2 linked regions of the Neurospora crassa OR74A genome follow. The protein of the gene in region 2 interacts with the protein of the main gene of each other region in a biochemical or structural test. Links are inferred from orthologs where the notes say so. Each region holds a gene or a part of one and is shown on either strand. Other genes may lie near its edges.

Region 1 (3,749 bases), on a different chromosome or scaffold from region 2:
CCCCAAGACACACACTGCTTATCTATACCTTTCCTAGCAGGAGTAGTGACCAGACAAGAAAAAGAAAAGGTCGTTCGTTATTCATCCCCCGAGATATAAAAAGATTCCCTTTCCTTCCTACCCTCTCGAGTTGTGTGGAGACCGGACGGATGGAGAGACAGGACGGGCAGACGTGGCTTTCGTTTCGTTGGCACGGCAGGAGGGGCGAGGACCTCCCCAAAAGAAGTGGTCGGAACAGACGGCAGACGGGATGATGGCTGGGAGCCCTGGCGATCAGGAAACATGGCGGCGGTAGACAAGCTGACGGTAAGATACTCATGTTCGTTGCGGGCGGGCGAAAGTATCAGACGTTTATCGGCGGCCGAACCTAAAGGAAAACGGGTGTGTTCGTAAGAAAATTCTTTACTTGTGCTTCTTGGGGGTCTTGAATTGCTTCATCTGAGACTGGGAACGTACTTCTGTTTCTTCTCTGCGGGCTTGAGAATCTGCAAAGGGGGTTAGCAAGAGTGCAAGGGTCTCGGAGCTTGCCAAAGTCAGAAAAACATACCTGGAAAGAGCAGAGCAAACTTTCGTCGACGCTCATCATAGCACCAGCGTTGTCGAACTCGCCGCAGTAGTTGGGGGCACTAAACAAAGTAACGAGCTGGCGCTTCGAGAAGAACTCATATCCGTCCTCAACAACCTGGTGAGCACGGCAGATCAAATCCATGTCGTGTTTTTGGAGGAAGCGAGAAACGACATCCGGGCCGAATGTGAAGGAAACACCACGATCGTTTTCGCTCCAACCAGTAATGTCCTTATCGGGATCCGACCACAGGAGATCGCAAAGAAGACCGCAGTCAGGAATCTGGCGCTATTGTTAGTGTCTCATGTTACGGCAACTAGCCTGAGCAAACGGAAAGCCCGGGCATGAATGGTGTAACGTACGTCAGTTGGTCGCATGACTCGGCGGATCTGCTCCATTGAGTTCAGATCCGGGCTCAAACCACCGTGCATAGTGAAAATCTTCTCGTCGATAATGGCAGCGATCGGTAGGCAGTTGAAGCAGTCGGTGAAGGTCTTCCAAAGCTTGATGTTGTACCTCCGCTTGCACTCGTCGTAGAAACCATAGATACGGTTGATGGACGCGCACTCGTGGTTGCCACGAAGGATGAAGAAGTTCTCGGGGTACTTGATCTTGTAGGCGAGGAGCAGGCAGATGGTCTCCAGGGACTGCTTGCCACGATCGACGTAGTCACCTAGGAAGAGGTAGTTGGCCTCAGGAGGGAAGCCACCGTACTCGAAGAGGCGGAGGAGATCATAGTATTGACCGTGGATATCGCCGCAAATCTAGGGAGGTGGGGCACGACGTCAGCTATGAACACTGCCGAAGGGGCAGTATGGCGCATGCCGAGGCTATGTAAAGGGATAATAGAAAGAACACAATGCTTACCTTGATAGGAGCCTCGAGCTCAAGCAGGATGGGCTGGGAAATGAAGATTTCACGGGCCTTGGTGCAGAGATAGCGAATCTCGGCTTCCAGCAGCTGCACCTGCTTACCAGGCCGGCTGCCCCGCACCTCCAAGAGGCGGTCGATTATAGAGTCGAGGTCGACTTCGGTATGGTCCGCCATTGCAAAATCCTCACCAACCGGAGAGATACCGCGCACAGGTTTTCGAAGTCACGGTAACGACCGACAAACCCCAGCTAGTCGGATGGGACGGGTCTAAAAGAGCGGCACGCGTAAGGAGTAGGAAACTGGGGTAGATGCACTTCTGCAAAGCTAAACGACTAATTCAAGACGTTAGACATTGCCAATGACGACGCAGATTCTGATTGGGGTTTGCCGCACGCGATCGCGATGGCGGGAAAATGAAGGAGGAGCGACGGCTGGGCAGAGACTGGGAAGCCGCAATGTAACGGCAGTTGATCAACTTACGCTCAGAAGCGATCCCAGCAAGAAGCGATTGTTGGGGGTTTTTTTTTTTTTGGAGAGGCGAACGCGTTCTCCTTGGGAATACAGCAAGCGGTGATTTTTTTGGTGTTTTTTTTTTCTGGAAATAGGTATTCTTTCGGATACCGAATGTTGTGCTTTGGTTTTAGTAAATCGTCACTGGGTTTGGCGGAGGTGCGAACGGTCTAGAGCAAGCGCAAGCAAATCTCGTCGGAATTGCGAAGAAATCGGTCCGGTAGTACGCGGCGACAAGAGGGTTAGCAATGATGGAAAAAGGAGACGGCTCCAGAAGTCTCTGATCGTCCTTTGTGAGGTAACGTGTTTTTTTTTTTTTGTCGCGCGGACGGGGCTGGGGCAAAACGCCGTGTCGTCGTCGAAAATCTGGGTTCGAAAAGGTCGGGTGTAGAAGGGGAGTTCAAGTAGTCCTGAGACTGCGGGAGAGGCTGTCACTGCCACTGCCAAAACCACGGTCGGGAAAAACTGGTCGATGGACTGCCCGGGAGAGTGCAAAGTGCTGCAGCGAGGTGCAGTACAGAGCGCTGGGCCGGTCGGAGGGTCGCTGGAAAAAGCTGCGTCTAATTGAGCGACGGAGGCCAGAAGACGAGATACCGCGAGATGATGCCTATGATAATAGGACTTCTATCGCCAGGGTGGGGTTGAAAATGCGCGTTCTTTGTGGTTAAAGACGTCGCCCTGTTTTGGTTGGGATAGAAAGCGTCGGGAGAAAAAAATCAACGTCGGTGGTGGTTGCTTAGAGACTTTTGGGAGGAGACGGACAAGCGCAGACGCTTCCACTTGGGCTGCCCGCTGCTGGGGGGGGGGGGTCCGGCCGGGCGATGGGCTAGGTAGAGGTAGGTAGGTAGAGAAGACTGGCGACTGGACTGGACGGGGACGCAGAGAAGGGATTGGGCTACTGGGCCGATGGAGCAGCAAGATTTACACGCACGCAACGCAGCTAATGAAACGCACAGGGCTTCCAGACTACCTACTAGCAGTGGAGAGCAGTAGGTAGAGGTAGGCAGGCAGGTCCAGGTCCAGGTCCGCGTTCTTTCAAGCCCAGGTCAGGTCACCTCGGTGCCTGCCAGTCAGGTTATCGTTACAACAACCACAACAGGCGTCCGGTCGGGTCGGGTTTCGGTGCAGTTGTGATCTTTTCCGCCGACTGGGCTCTCATCCACATCGATGGAATGAACAGGACAGCACTCAGTGACATGGAACGAAAAAAACTCGAAACATCCGACGCGATGGCAGGCCAGAACAACCCTCAACTTAAACTCAAACATACCTACCTACGGCTGAAATAACCCAAACAAGGACAGGCTCAGATTGGGTGAGCTAGGTTAGGTAGTTGGTACCTAGGTTGCCAGCCAGGTAGGTAGGTACCTACCTAGGTTTCGCGCCCGCTCTGAATCTCCGTCAGATCCTGGCCGAGCCCTTGTGCCCTTTCCAGTTGCAGTGAAGCGGCCCTTCCAACTTGGCTCGAGAAAAATTGCATGCACTCGCCTCTGGGGAAGCAGGTATGATGATAGGTCGGTCCATGTTGCTCACTAACGCGACTGGGTAGGAGCTGCGCTGCCTTCCCCCGCAACTGCGAGCACTTCTGTTAGCAAGAGTCCCGAACACCGGACCCTCCTTGGCAGGTCTAGGCCTGGGATTGGCTCGCCTAAAAGCCGCTTGCGATCCCGTTGGTGGGTGTCGCCTGGAACTTCCATCTCTCCCAACCCTCCAACTTCCCCCTCCCTGTGTAGAGATAGTGGACTGTGAGTGTGACACCTTACCTGGTATGTACACGGCAATAGCAAAGACGGGAATGCCT
Region 2 (3,749 bases):
CCGGTCGGACTAAGGCTGAGATTAAGTCGTCTCTTCTGTCTGGCGAGGGGACGGATGCGGTGGAGGATGTCGGCGCCGCTGCCGGTAACAAGTACGATTCGCGCAACAAGCAGCGGAGGTCGAGCTTTGGAGACGAGAGGCCGTCGCGAGTGGTGGAGAACGGCTGGGACCTGCTTGATAACAATGATGTCAACTTCTTGATGGCATTCGGCATGAGCGTGGGAGCGATGGCCGTCGCATCATGGTATTGGGGAGTTCCTCTGCAGTCTGTGTTGTCGCCATGGTGGGCATAAGGCAGTCGCAGGTGGGTGGTGAATGACTTTCGCTAGAGATGTTGGCTAGCTAAACAATTCCATGGATGACATATGAGAGCTCAGTCGTCATTTTGATTACACATTCAGATCACGGCTTTGGGTGAAGCTTGGGCAGGTACCTTGCTCGCTATCCGGATGATGCTAACCAAAAGCCGGCGCGATTGACCATTGAGGTTCTCATTGTACCAAACATCCACAATTCAAGACCAGCGATCCGTACATGGGATCGAAGACCAGCCTGGCTTACAATTGAATCCTTTGGTATTCTATACACGAGAACGTTGTATACCTAGTCTTTGTAATTTCGACTTGCTACCATTTTGGGCCATAATGTGTGGTAGACACGTATAGGCGTACACAGGGCTTTTATCGGCCTTGTGACAATGGTCCTGTGACCGAGCCGGATGACCTCCCCTCGGCCAGCCAGGCGGTAGTAACGAAACATGAAGTAGGTACAGTAGCTGATGAATGATGGAACTTTCCGTCCGGCTCGGCAGCCCCGTTGTACCTAAGTTAAGGTGGCCGCTTTCCGGAGCGCTCTGACCCCGCGATGCTGCCGTTTGTCGTCCCTGCATCCTTCCAACTCCTCCACTAATTCCCCCATTCTTCACCCCAGATCCCCGCCCGACTCCTTCCACCCCGTTTTCCATTACACCATCTCTGGATTGTTGCCCCGCTGCAGTGTTCGCTTGTCCACTTCCTCCTATGGAACCTAACAGCTCCAACACCCACTTGATTGCCCGCTGCGCTGCCCGTCCACCGCGATTGCTGATTCTTGTCGGCTGACAACCGAACACCGACCGAATGCGCATCCGATACATGATGTTCTCCTGAACAAAGCAAGGCGGTACCTTACATCGACCGACGACGCTACAACACAGACAGCCCACCGAGCCTTGACTTGACGTCCCTAGCTTCATTAGCTCCAACCTCTTGGGTCTGTTCGCTCCCGCTCCCAGGATTCAATCGAGGGACCATCGCGGTTCCTCCATTGCCCATTCACCCTCTTCACCAGCCAGTCGGACGACATCTGGTCAGACGAAACGAACGACCTTCCATCCGCGATTCAGTGTCGTCCACTTGTGTTGCAAGCGACTCCGTCTGCCATGGCACAGGCCTACGATGACGAGGAGCTTTCCATCTCCTTGTCTCCTTCTCAGATCCGAAGTCGCAATAAGCGATCCGGCGATGGCGCATCAGGCTTCGGCCCCAGTACCGGCAACCTCCACGAATACGGTCAACACGGTCAGCAATTACACCCTAATATCAACGCCGTCATGGCCGACGCACCCCTCCGCGACAAGATGCGCACCGAGCAGCGCATCGGTGCCTATAACATTGTCAAGACGCTCGGCGAAGGCAGCTTCGGAAAGGTCAAGCTGGCTGTCCATCGCATGACCGGCCAGCAGGTCGCTCTCAAGATCATCGCCCGCAAGAAGCTCATCAGCCGCGACATGCAAGGTCGCGTAGAGCGCGAGATTGAGTATCTTCAATTGCTAAGGCATCCCCATATCATCAAGCTGTAAGGCACCCCTCGACGCCCATGCGCAGCAGACGTTGGCTCTGGTCCTTTACGTACACGTTGGCTAACCCGGCGCGCATACCAGGTACACCGTTATCAAAACACCAACCGAGATCATCATGGTGCTAGAGTATGCCGGCGGCGAATTGTTCGATTACATTGTTCAACATGGAAAGATGAAGGAGGACGAAGCCCGCCGCTTCTTTCAGCAGATGCTATGCGCCGTCGAATACTGTCATCGTCACAAGATCGTTCATCGCGACCTAAAGCCCGAAAACCTCTTGCTGGACGATAATCTCAATGTCAAAATTGCCGATTTTGGTCTTAGCAATATCATGACCGACGGTAATTTCCTCAAGACCAGCTGCGGCTCTCCCAATTACGCGGCTCCCGAGGTCATTGGCGGCAAGCTTTACGCAGGACCCGAAGTCGATGTCTGGAGTTGCGGTGTCATTCTTTACGTCCTACTCGTCGGGCGCCTCCCTTTCGACGACGAGCATATCCCCAGTCTTTTTGCCAAAATTGCGCGTGGAAGCTACATGGTGCCGACCTGGATGAGTCCCGGCGCGGCGTCACTAATCAAGAAGATGTTGGTTGTCAACCCTGTTCAACGTGCCACAATTGACGAAATCCGCCAGGACCCGTGGTTCCTCAAGGATCTGCCGGCTTACCTTCACCCTCCTGTTGAGGAGTTCCTCAATACTGGCGTGGACCCCAACAAGGCCATCAAGGTTAGCGACATTGCGCCAAATGCCCCTCCGCAGGAACAGGAGAAGTTGCATAATGAGGTCACGGAGAAGATCAGTAAAACCATGGGCTACGGCAAGAGAGATGTCGAAGAGGCCTTGGAGGCCGATGAACCCTCGGCCATCAAAGATGCCTACATGATCGTGCGTGAGAACAAGCTGATGCAGAGTAACCGTGAGTCTACGCTCCCTCCCAGCAAGTCTTTTGTCTTCTCATCATTGGAACCTATCGATCCCTTTGCGATGCTATACTCGTCCGTTTTGTCCTTCTTTCGCAGTTGATTTTGCCACGTCCCATCCTCCTTCGGCGTCCATTTTACACTTGCCTAGTGGTGAACATCGCTTGACGCAAAAAAAAAGCAAATCCTTGAGTTTGCGACCATCGTCCTTTTGGAGCAACACCAATGAGGAATACCAGGATACCCTACTAAAAACCGATGAAGAAATTCCAGGCCTCACGACAGAGGAGTCTGTCCCGAGTCCGCTCCATGACCCGAATATGTCATCAGCTCGCTCGATCGCATCCGTTAGCACAGCAACTTCACCGCGGCCATATGTCAGCAAGATCGGTATTTTGCCTAGCAGTCTTCCTACCTACCACAGGGTCTTTATGGAGCGAGAGAAGGCCAAGGCCGAAGGTCTTGAGCCCCCTGATGCCATCCCCACCATCGTTGAGCCGGCAAATCAGCCGCGCAGCCAAGCTGAACAAGAAGAGACTATCCGAAGACTCAAGCCACATTCGAGGAGTCAACTTCGCCTTGACGAGGCCAACAAGCGCCCACAAGGACTTACCCCCGTCCACCCGCCCAAGAAGAACAAGCCTGCTCGATGGCAATTTGGTATTCGATCCCGGAACGCTCCTTGGGAGGCGCTGGTGTGTATTTACAAGGCGCTAAACAAGCTTGGCGCTGGGTGGATTGTCGATGAAGACTACGAAAGAGCCCACCGGGACGATGACGACACTGATGACTATGATGGGCCTAGTATCGGGTCCCGCAAGAAGTCATCATCCAGCATGGATCCCACCAAGACATATAGACTTCCTGCGGACCCCTGGCATATCAAGATTCGGTGGACAACTGATAGTGAGTTTCCGGTCTGTCCGGCCCAAATGGCAAAGTTTGGCTAACATTGGCTGTCAGAGCTCAAAAAGCATTCGGTTGCCTC

The links. The genes of interacting proteins can lie anywhere in the genome.
Region 1: of the proteins of prk-10 (region 2) and pph-3, one has a biochemical effect on the other in vitro, tested with the Saccharomyces cerevisiae proteins (2 studies listed by BioGRID). The link is inferred for Neurospora crassa OR74A from reciprocal best matches to the Saccharomyces cerevisiae genes SNF1 and GLC7.

What each region holds. Positions count from the first base shown.
Region 1 is NC_026503.1:2,384,606-2,388,354, forward strand, and holds the start of pph-3 (serine/threonine-protein phosphatase PP1), read right to left. Parts: upstream 2,882-3,749; 5' UTR 1,919-2,881; intron 1,771-1,918; 5' UTR 1,613-1,770; coding exon 1,433-1,612; intron 1,330-1,432; coding exon 928-1,329; intron 848-927; coding exon 548-847; intron 486-547; coding exon 457-485; intron 368-456; coding exon 352-367; 3' UTR 1-351.
Region 2 is NC_026505.1:1,660,104-1,663,852, reverse strand, and holds the start of prk-10 (protein kinase SNF1), read left to right. Parts: upstream 1-940; 5' UTR 941-1,420; coding exon 1,421-1,836; intron 1,837-1,921; coding exon 1,922-2,757; intron 2,758-3,025; coding exon 3,026-3,667; intron 3,668-3,724; coding exon 3,725-3,749. Other genes in the region: NCU11040 (DUF92 domain-containing protein), read left to right, coding at 1-293. UniProt on the Saccharomyces cerevisiae protein: Serine/threonine protein kinase essential for release from glucose repression.